Linked DNA regions of Macaca fascicularis. The protein of the gene in region 2 interacts with the protein of the main gene of each other region in a biochemical or structural test. Links are inferred from orthologs where the notes say so. Each region holds a gene or a part of one and is shown on either strand. Other genes may lie near its edges. The genes, in order: AHR, HSP90AA1 and FKBP5.

Region 1 (3,749 bases), on a different chromosome or scaffold from region 2:
TTACAGAGGAAGCTGGTGATATTTAAGGCATTTGTATGATTAGAAGCAATATATGGTGCTCGGTAGAGATCTGATAAACATCTATGCTAACAAAATAAAATGTGGGTGAATGGGAAAAATACTTTTGTTATATTGTAAGAAATTAATACAAGCATATTAAAGACTAAGAAAGTATATTAGGATAATCTAATAAAAAGTACATTTTACGCAAAGTAACTAAAATCCATAAACGTTAAACTGTATAATGAATACAAAATTATGGCATTTGTTTTTGTTTACAAAGCCACCCAGGTCCTTTTATAACACCCTAACTGAAACCCAGTATCTTAAAAACACATCAGGGAAAGCTTCCTGTTTTCTCACTATACACATAAAACCTATGACGTCCCTATTATATATGATGCTAAGTATATTATTGCATTAATAAACACATAGAACAGACATTTGTGATGCCTCCCAACTTTAACCATGAAGGACAATGTCAAATAAGACAAACATACTTTAATATAAGAAATCATTCTACAAAATTAAAAGTATTATAAACCGATGTCTCAAACTGCCAAGGTAGAAAACTGCTGGTTTGACAACATTCCCTTAAAACACACTCTACCATAAAACTTCCATATTTTAATCAGTCTATTTACAGATTATTATCCTCTGTTAATGCCAATTCACAAGTCTAGTTCTGAAGAACTATGATAACTGAAATTCTGAAAGGAAACTAAAATTTTAGAATGAAACTTTAAACCAATAACTGGTTTTAAATGTAAATCTTAAAGTGTTATTTTTCTGGTTCCCATTAGTGACAGTTGGAGTCTAAGCAAAATGCACACTTCTGATTTGGTCTGAGAAGACGTTTAAGAGTTCTTAAAATTGTTTACGAAAACTTGAAAAACATGCAGGTAAAGTAACTCAGAGATAAAACTAGAAATAAAAAAATTGGAACAAACACATGAATACAACCACCACACAACAGGAAAAGTTTCCAGCACGGATACTTTTTTCTGACACACAAGAAAATAAAGTATTTGCCATCTCACACAAATATTCCACCAAAATCAACTGACAACGACAAAAGCAAGTTTGTACTCACTCAATTAGAACAAAACTTGGAAGGGGAAAATAATTAGAGGTAAATGTTAAGAATGAAAACCACTCTCAAATGCAGTTCTAAATCTTTTATGTTACAGACTCTAAAGCCACCCCAAAAGTGATAAGCAAGCTTCCGAAAAAGATGTCTGAAGAATACAAATCCTCCACCGTATCCTGTCCGTTGCATCCACTCCCACCTGCTACCACGTCTATCCACTTTACCGATATGGTCACGATGAGCGCTACAAAACTGCTGCCAAATAAGTAAGTAAGAGCGCAACAGAAAGCCAGTAGGTGGGGACCAAAAAGTACCTTTAGAGGCACTCAGCCCCTTCGTAAAAGTCAGCACGTGTTTAGCTCTTTAAAACATCTCGCCCTACCAAACTCTACCAAGAATGAGAATTAAGACTGTCCTCTAACCTAACGCATGCGGATATTAAAAGTGGAAGGAGATTTCAAGACAGGTTTATACTAACTAATCCATTAGCCCAAGGCAGATCAGAGCTGTCAACAAATCAGGACCAAATCAGAGAGAACAAAGTTACAAATGTGAGAGGGTGTGTATGCACCGGTGCGGGAGAAGAGGATGGGTGGAAGGACAATTTTTAAAATGCAATCATTGAAAACGCGAGAATTCAAGTCCTCGGTCTCCCGACCGGCCTCCAAACCTCGATTCCACGGGCAGTGCCGGGAATGAACCTAATCCCCAGGATCGCAGGGATTTGGGGGCGGGGTGGGGCTGCCTCCCGCACCCGCGTGCCTGTGCGCCCAGCCCCCGCGATGAGGACGCGCTCGGGACACTCACGTTTTCTGCACCGGCTTCCGCCGCTTGCGACTGGCGTAGGTGATGTTGGCGCTGCTGCTGTTCATGGTGCCCAGCCGACGGCGGCGGCTACTCCCCGGGCACTGGCGGCCGGGTCCCCGGGACCTGGTGTCTGCCGGGACGACGGCGGCGGCAGGCGCCGGGTTCCGCGAAGCCGCGCCCGCTCCACCTGCGTCCTCTCCAGACAGTGGCGTGGGCGCTGCGCCTCCGCGCCTCGGCTACCGCAGGCTCCCGCAGCCCGCGCCAGTCCAGGTGAGCTGCCCGGGCCTGGCGCCGAAAGGGGGGGCAAGGGGCGGAGACCCGCGAGCGAGGCGGCGCAGGTGCCGTCTACACCGGCGGAGGCGGCGCGGCAATGCCCGCAGGTGAGGCGGCCCGGGCAGAGGAGGAACCTGGGCCGTCTATTTAGAATCCTGGCCTGGGTCGCTCACGGTGCCGCCGCGCTCCGTGACCGTAGCCGCGGCCCCTTGGGTGAGGGAGGCGCCGCCGCGTTGCTCCCGGGACTTCCCAAATCCTGGGTGCTTCCCGCCTGCGGAGCTCGGGGGCCAGCCACCAGTCCCGGCTGCTCCTAGCTTACGTTCGGCTACACGGCTGCCCCTGGTCTGAGCTGGCGGTCCGGGGCACGCTCTCGGAACAGAGCGTCGAGGGGACTCCCCAGCCGCTGCCTCCCGCCGCCGCGCGCACCGGCTGAATAGCACAAGCACCCCCGACCCCTCACCGGCCCCGCCCCGCCCAGATCCAGCGTAGCCCCGCCCCGTCCTGCTTGCCCCCGCCCATCTGGATTCCATTCCATCTTCCTTGAGGGCCCCACCCTCATCCCGGCACGTGATGACGTAGGACGTAACGACGCCCCCCCGCCGGTAGCCATCTTCGTGCATAGGCAAACTCATTGTAGCTAGACTATACAAAGTATATCAAGATATGCCAAATATAGAGCTTAACTTCGCCTGTTTGAGAGACGGTGGTTCAGCTGACTTGTGGCTAAGAATTACAATTAACTGGTAGACAACCAATGGGACTATATATTTTCCTAGTTGGGGAGGCTTCAGAAGGCCAGATTTCAGTTGAGACTTGAAGGCTAGGGGTTTTCTTGACCTTTTTTGGGGTGGGGGGAAGTCTTTACAATAGACAGGAAAATAGATAATAAGGGACTATTATGTGTTGTGTCATGGAGGACAATGTGGAAAAATATTGGGAGTAGTTAACAGTATTGAATGCTGTTGAGAAATTCAAATTAGAGGAGAACTGAAAATGTCATTCTTGTCTTCTCAGTGTGTAGTCATTGATAATTTTCGTGAATGCTGTGTTGGTGGGGTAATGGGCCTGCAAATAACATTGAAGTGGGTACAGGATTGCTGGAGATGATGAAATGGCATCCTCAAGCAGACAATTCTTCCAAGTTTAACTGTGGATGAGAGACACATCAGATGGTATGTAGGGGGAGTGAAGGGTTAAATGAGGGTTTTCTAGTTTTGTTTTGGTTTAGTTCTTTAATGGGTGATACTGAGCAGCTTAGAGGGGTGGAGATAAACTATGTAGGGAACCTGAGGGAACAGTTAAGGAGTGATATATATTAAGATAGCGAAAGCAGGAGGGAATGAGTGCCAAAGCATAAATGGGAGATTAGGACTAATAGTTTAGATACTAACAGAAACAGCACTTCCAGTACTTTGCTGTTCAGAGTACTCCACAGCTTCTTATGAGAGTTATAAGAAATGCAGACTCTTTGGGTGTCCATATTAAATCAGACCCAGAAGTTCACAAGAACTCCCAGGTGATTCAAATGTACATAAAGTTGGAGGAGCAGTTCTCTACCATAGCTGGAGGAAAGAAGGAT
Region 2 (3,749 bases):
TGATCCGCACACCCCGGGTTCCCAAACTGCTAGGATTACAGGTGTGAGCCACCATGCCCAGCCAGAAGTATTTCTTTAATCAGTGACAGTGATTATTTTTCCTATCTATACTTACTCAGATATTCAGGGATTAGCTCCTCACAGTTATCCATGATGAAAACTCTGCGTACATACAATTTGATGTTGTTCTTTTTCTTTCTGTTTTCAAACAGGTCAAAAGGAGCACGTCGTGGGACAAATAGAAGGGCTCTGAATTCCAACTGCCCTTCAACTGAAAAATGCTGTAATAGAACAAACACACTAAGTATCAATGAACAATGCATTATAGCAGATATTTGGGGTGGTGGGATGATAATCTAAAGACAAGCTTGAAGCATCCATCAGTCCCTCACTCACCTTCACTGCCAAGTGATCTTCCCAGTCATTGGTCAAGCTCTTGTAGAATTCTCCGTACTCCTCATTAGTAATATCGTCGGGATTTCTGGTCCAGATGGGTTTTGTTTTGTTGAGTTCTTCTTGATCGATGTACTTCTCCTTAATCTTCTTTTTCTTCTTCTTGTCACCATCCTTCTTTTCTTCTTCTTCCTCATCAGAACCAACATCTTCAATTTCAGGTTTGTCTTCAGACTCTTTCTCTTCTTTTTCTTTTTCTTCTTCTTTGTCTTCTTTTTCTTCAGCCTCATCATCGCTGACTTCTTTATCACGTTCCTTCTCCACCTTCAAAAGACATGAAATCGCATCACTGCTGCACTCTAGAACTAAGTCATAGCGCTGCCCCACTACTTTCAACCTAAGGCCAAAGCCTAAATTACCGAGGATGAGAAGCAGCCAGGCAGCTTCTCATCAATATTTGATATATCTACTTAATAACCCGAGGAACCTTCACAGTTAGTAGAGCTTAGGTTCCCCAGGCTTCAGACTAGTTCAACAGACCTAGGAACTAAGGATGTAGTACAGTCACCCCAGTCACCTACAGACAGTAATTCACTCTGCAATTATGTAGAAACTTACAAAAAGAGTAATGGGATATCCAATAAACTGAGAATGTTTCTTCACAATCTCCTTTATTCTTCGTTCCTCCAAGTACTCAGTTTGGTCTTCTTTCAGGTGTAGGATAACCTTTGTTCCACGACCCATAGGTTCACCTGCAAGAGAAATAAGGAAAATTGACTCAATAATACATTCAATTTAGTGCTCAACGCCATGCTTAACCCTTATAACGTGTCTATGAAGCGAGGTTTGCCCTTACTACAGATGCAAAGGCTCCCACAGCAGATCTAAGTGCCTTGCCCAAAAGAAGTAATCACCAAGTCATGCCATTACACACTAATTCAGAGCTCTAGCTTGTTCCTGATCCTTGGGTAAACACACTTTCTGTGAACTTCGCCGCATCCCCAGGGGTCCAAGGGTTGCAACACCCCACCATTCCGCCACTGACTTAACCAGTGAGTGTTCAGGTACCTACCTGTGTCTGTCCTCACTGTAAATGATCCCCCTGCTGAGGACTCCCAGGCGTACTGCTCATCATCGTTATGTTTGGTGATCACAGTTACTTTCTCAGCAACCAAATAAGCAGAATAAAAACCAACACCGAACTGGCCAATCATGGAGATATCTGCACCAGCCTGCAAAGCTTCCATGAACGCTTTGGTCCCAGACTTGGCGATAGTACCAAGGTTATTGATCAAGTCAGCCTTGGTCATCCCAATTCCAGTATCCACAATAGTGAGGGTTCGATCTTGTTTATTTGGTATCAGGTTAATATGCAGCTCTTTCCCAGAGTCTAATTTACTGGGATCCGTCAAGCTCTCATAGCGGATTTTGTCCAATGCCTATTAACACAAAATATTAATTAAGCATACAGCCCCCAAGAAGTTCATATTGAAACCAAAATCCTATTCTGGGTTAATAAACGACTTACATCTGATGAATTTGAAATTAGCTCTCTTAGAAAGATCTCTTTGTTCGAATAAAAAGTATTGATAATCAATGACATCAACTGGGCAATTTCTGCCTGAAAGGCGAACGTCTCAACCTCCTCCTCCTCCATCGGTTGGTCCTGGGTCTGCGTTTCCTCAGGCATCTGGAACGACACCGCGCCGGTTTAAAACCCTGCAGAGCGTCTACAGGGGCAACACGAGATTCCATCGCGTCCTCCCAATATTTTTAAAGCCGGATTGCAGATTTGCGAAGTTTAAGTAAACCGAAAATAGAAGGGCGGCTGACAAAGGATGACCTCATTTCGGAGCGCGGTAACTACCACGAGCGTGTGCGCGCTTCCGGGAGGCCACTGCAGGCCCGGCCCAGTCCCGCGCCGCGGTCCCCAACCGACACCCCGTGTGCTCTCCCGCGCGGGCCGCGGCTCCGCCAGGGCGGCCTCCTCCGCCTGCGCCCCAGCTGGGCCGCCCGGGGGGCCCCCAGCCAAAGGGCCGCTCTGCTCGCGTGCGGCGCCAGCTCCGGGGCTGCCGCGGAGCCTCGGGGAGCAGCCGCCCAGCCCATTCCTGAGGCGGGCTGCGGAGACAGCAGCGGGCCCACGGCCTCCGGAATAGGCAGCGCGGCCTCCCGGGAGAGCGGCCCTGGCGGGTTCAGGGCTCCCGTTCGGCCCCCACAGCCTCCGCTCCGCGCCAACCGCCCCCACTCCCCAATCCACCTCCACAGGCCCTCACAACCGCCCCTCACACCTTGGCTAAAAGGCTGCAAACGTTCCACCGCACAGCAGCACCAAGACGCTGAAGCAACTGACGCGCCGCCCCCGCGCCTGCCTTATATAGCGACGGGCCCGCCCAGCGCGCGGCGCTTTTTCCAGAAGCCTCCCGAACCTTCCGGAAGAACCCTCCCCAACCGCCGCCGCGGCCGCGCGCCTGCGCCTGCGCCCTCGCCCTCGCCGTGGCCCGCCCCTCCCGCTGGCGCGCGCAGGCCCTGCTCGTGGCCCAGCCCGGGAAACCTTCCCTCAATCACCGCCCCGCGCCTCTCGCACGCCCCCGCGCCGACCTCAATGCGCCTGCGCGGCCTGGAATTCTCGGGAAGGTCCGGGCGCCTTCTGGGGCCGCCCGCGCTCTCTTCCCTGCACTCCCACCTGCCGAGCGCGGGCGGAGGGCACGCCCGGGCGTGGGGGCCTTTGAAGTGAGGTGTAGTTTGGTCACCCGGGCTGCGCAGAATGCGGGGCTGGGGCGGGAGGCGCGCCTGGAGGGAGGGCCGTGCGTGGACGGGGAGCGCCCCGGGTCTCGCACGCCTGGGAAACTACCGGAGCCGTCATCCTCACGGACGGCGCGCCCGCTGCCAAAAAACCCAGCCGCAGGCGGCGCCGGGATCGCGGGGCTCTGCTCCCTGGGGGCCTTTGGGCTGTTGGCTTCTAGCTGCTGCGCGCAGGGGACGCCGTCCCGCGGCCTGCGCGCTCGGGGAGTCTCCAGACCCACTGCTGGCTCAGGAGCGCTCCCTACCTTTGGGTTCCCCGGAAGCCATGTCCTTCACACTTCAGGATCCCTTAGCTTGGGAATCGGGCCCTTGGTGAATAAATTCATGCTTACCCAGCTACACCCGGCATGCTTTTTAAAAGCCCATCGTTTTGCCGATCGATTTGAGGTCTCCAAATTAAGTATCTAACACTTGACATTTTGGTGATTAACCTTCCCTAAAAGACAGGTTTGGTGTTTTTTTGTTTTTGGACAGGCTGTCCCTCTGTCGCCCAGGCTGGGGTGCTGTGGCACAATCTTGGCTCACCGCAGCTTCGACCTCCCGGGCTCAGGTGA
Region 3 (3,649 bases), on a different chromosome or scaffold from region 2:
ACACCAAAGCTGTCGAATGCTGTGACAAGGTAACGCCGTGTCTCCTGTGAGATAGACTTGAGATATTCCAGATCTTTTCTCCATCTCTGTCTTTTGCTTCCTCTCAGCCAAAGATTGAAGGATTTTTCATTTTGTTTTGTTTATTTGAATGTTTGGGATTATTTGTTTCTCAGTATGAATTGGGAAATTGAGCAAGATTTTTATTATAGCCAGACTTTTATGATACCTAGGACTGTTTGTCATAATGCATTCTGAAGAAAAATTTTGATTAAAATTAAATAATTTTATCCGTGACCTTCCTTATAACTGTAGTATATATATCAGAGTAGATGTATAACTTCTCAGGTTCAGTTTAATAAGAGCAGATTTAACTTAAGCTTTTCTGGACTTTAACAGACTGCAACTGTTCATATAAAGCATATATGTAGGTCAATTTTTATTATAATCATTTATTCACTGATATGCATAAATAATTTGAAAGGTCCACAGAGCATCAGCAGCCTTTTCATTTTTACATTTGTCTTATTAATACTCTCTTTGGTCTTTGAGTACTTACACACAGTAATAACAATGGTTTATCATCTGTATCGTTATGTGTCATTCTGATATACACCAGCTGATACTATTTTAGGTATCTGGTCTCAGGGTGAACAGTGTATATTATACTGTGGGTAAAAGTAAAAACTAATCATTGGATGTATCTTAAAGGTAGACATAAAAGGAAAAGAAAAACAAGGCAACTATTTTGTACATTCTTTGTGAGATTATTTTTTAATTTTGTGGATCAGTGTTTCCTATCGTATCCTGTCTCCCAAGACCGGTTATTAATTTTATACATATTTTTTCATTTTTTTCATACACAGTGGAGAGAGAGTGTGTGTGTGTTTTGTTTCTGTTTTAGAGACAAGGTGTTGCTATTTTGCCCAGGCTGGTGTGCAGTGGCTATTCATAGACATGAACATAATGCACTATAGCCTCAAACTCTCAGGCCCAAGCTGTCCTCCCACCTCAGCCTCCTGAGTAGCTGGGATTACAAGTGCATGCCACTACACCCTGCTAATTTTTAAGTTTATTTTTGTAGAGATGGGTGTCTTCCAAAGAGCTGGGATTAAAGTTGTGAGGTATCACACCCAGCACAGCCTTGACTACATTATTTGTCTGTCTTCTATTGACAGAAGCAGTCATATAGCATCACTGTTAACCCTATTTTTGGCAATAGGAAGCCTGTTCTCCTTTTTTTTTTTTTTTTTCTTTTGGAGATGGAGTCTTTCTCTGTTACCCAGGCTGGAGTGCAATGGCACAATCTTGGCTCACTGCAGCCTCCACCTCCCGAGTTCAAGCGATTCTCCTGCCTCAGCCTCCCAAGTAGCTGGGACCACAGATGCCCACCACCACGCCTGGCTAGTTTTTGTATTTTTAGTAGAGACAGCGTTTCACCATGTTGGCCCGGCTGGTCTCGAACTCCTGACCTCAGGTGATTTGCCGCCTCAGCTTCCCAAAGTGCTGGGATTACAGGTGTGAGCCACCACACCCCAGCAATTTTCTTTTAGCTTTGTTGATTATATCATTCTCTTTAAAGAAGGTTTTAATGTTTATGTAGTCAAATTTATCTTCTCCTTTCTAGTTAGAAAAGACTTCCCCACACCAAGATTATAAAAATAACTGAGGCCAGGCACAGTGGTTTACACCTGTGACCTGTAACCCCCAGACTTTCGGAGGCTAAGGCGAGAGGATTGCCTGAGCCCAGGAGGTAGAGGCTGCAGTGAGCTGCGATTGAGGCACTGCCCTCCAGCCGGGGCGACAGAGTGAGACTCTGCCTCAAAAAAATAATAATTAGATTTTAAATATCTTAAAATAAAAAACAATAGAAACATTTTATGGTTTTTTATATGTAAATATGATTGATCTAGAATTTATTTTTATGCTTACAATATGAGGTTAGAATTTAACTTTTTTTTTTGGAGACAGAGTCTTACTCTGTCACCCACGCTGGAGTGCAGTGGCATGATCTCGGCCCACTCCAACCTCCACCTCCCTGGTTCAAGCAATTCTGCCTCGGCCTCCCAACTAGCTGGGATTACAGTCGCGTGCCACCATGCCTGGCTAATTTTTGTATTTTCAACAGAGACAAGATTTCGCCATGTTGGCCAGGCTGGTCTTGAACTCCTTACCTCAGGTGATCCACCTGCTTCAGCCTCCCAAAGTACTGGGATTACAGGCATGAGCTACTGCACTCAGCCTTAACTCTTATTTTCTACGTGGATAGCTGCTGTCCTGGCCCCATTTATTTTAAAGTTAACTCTCCACTGATTCATATTACCACCCTTGTCATTTTCAAACGTTTTTATATGCAGACACGTGACTGTTTCTGAATGATTCGTTCTGTTTCACTGAGCTGTTTGTCCACATACTAGTAACCACACAGTCTTAATTTCAGTAGTTTTAAAGTTTGTCTTTTTCTCTGGTAGGACAATGCCTCTTAGTTTTTTCTTTTTTCCCATTTTTTTTCAGCCATTCTTGGGCACTTACTTGTTCCAATGAACTTTAAAATGAACTTCTCAAGAGCCCCCTCTCAAATCTCCTTGGTATCTTTCTAGAAATTGCATTAAATGCAGAAAATAATTTGGGTAGTAAATTTTGATCAGTAGTATATAATTATCTTGAGCCCCATTTTTTAAATACACTTTTTCCATCTCCTTTGGCAAGAGAACTTTGGTAAGCTGTTTGCTGAATTTATTAAAATTCATCCTTTCTAAAATATAAACCATCTATTCCTAGGCCCTTGGACTGGACAGTGCCAATGAGAAAGGCTTGTATAGGAGGGGTGAAGCCCAGCTGCTCATGAACGAGTTTGAGTCAGCCAAGGGTGACTTTGAGAAAGTGCTGGAAGTAAACCCCCAGAATAAGGCTGCAAGACTGCAGATCTCCATGTGCCAGAAAAAGGCCAAGGAGCACAACGAGCGGGACCGCAGGATATACGCCAACATGTTCAAGAAGTTTGCAGAGCAGGATGCCAAGGTGTGTGCAGAGCCCGCTGAATGCAGGTGGATCAAGAGCCTGCCGTGCCCCTTTGATTTTAGGGGACAGGAACAGTTAACCCAAGAGGCTCAAGAGTAGGAAAAACAATTTCCAATCTGATCTGAGGCTGAGTATGCTTTGGATCCAAAGGTTGAGTAGGGCAGTTCTAGTCACCAAAGGCACATGTCGTGAGAGATGAGAAAAGTAAATTCCCTTCAGATGTATTAGATTGGTTCAAAAGTAATTATGGATTTTACCATTACTTTCAATGGTAAAAACAGCAATTTTGCACCAACTCCCCACCCCCAAGTTAGAATCTCACTCTGTCACCCAGACTAGAGTGCAGTGGTGCTGTCATGGCTCACTGCAGCCTTGACTTCCCTGGTTCAAGTGATCCTCTCACCTCAGCCTCCTGAGTAGCTGGGACAAGCACACCACCACACCCGGCTAATTTTTTTAAATTTTTTGTAAAGATAGGGTTTCACTTTGTTGCCCAGGCTGGTCTCGAACCCCTGGCTTCAAGGAATCCTCCTACTTTGGTCTCCCAAAGTGCTGGGATTATAGACATGAGCCACCATGCCTGGCCCTTTTGTCATTTTTGAAAAATTGTAAACCCATCAGGATTTTTTTT

What was found.
Region 1: the proteins of HSP90AA1 (region 2) and AHR form a complex in vitro, tested with the Homo sapiens proteins (2 studies listed by BioGRID). The link is inferred for Macaca fascicularis from reciprocal best matches to the Homo sapiens genes HSP90AA1 and AHR.
Region 3: the proteins of HSP90AA1 (region 2) and FKBP5 form a complex in vitro, tested with the Homo sapiens proteins (5 studies listed by BioGRID and IntAct, with this or other methods). The link is inferred for Macaca fascicularis from reciprocal best matches to the Homo sapiens genes HSP90AA1 and FKBP5.

What each region holds. Positions count from the first base shown.
Region 1 is NC_088377.1:112,901,188-112,904,936, forward strand, and holds the start of AHR (aryl hydrocarbon receptor), read right to left. Parts: upstream 2,602-3,749; 5' UTR 1,963-2,601; coding exon 1,898-1,962; intron 1-1,897. UniProt on the Homo sapiens protein: Ligand-activated transcription factor that enables cells to adapt to changing conditions by sensing compounds from the environment, diet, microbiome and cellular metabolism, and which plays important roles in development, immunity and cancer.
Region 2 is NC_088381.1:170,187,754-170,191,502, forward strand, and holds the start of HSP90AA1 (heat shock protein HSP 90-alpha), read right to left. Parts: upstream 2,741-3,749; 5' UTR 2,682-2,740; intron 2,084-2,681; coding exon 1,922-2,083; intron 1,833-1,921; coding exon 1,466-1,832; intron 1,146-1,465; coding exon 1,012-1,145; intron 718-1,011; coding exon 397-717; intron 282-396; coding exon 116-281; intron 1-115. UniProt on the Homo sapiens protein: Molecular chaperone that promotes the maturation, structural maintenance and proper regulation of specific target proteins involved for instance in cell cycle control and signal transduction.
Region 3 is NC_088378.1:136,110,810-136,114,458, forward strand, and holds part of FKBP5 (peptidyl-prolyl cis-trans isomerase FKBP5), read left to right. Parts: coding exon 1-29; intron 30-2,778; coding exon 2,779-3,018; intron 3,019-3,649. UniProt on the Homo sapiens protein: Immunophilin protein with PPIase and co-chaperone activities. Component of unligated steroid receptors heterocomplexes through interaction with heat-shock protein 90 (HSP90).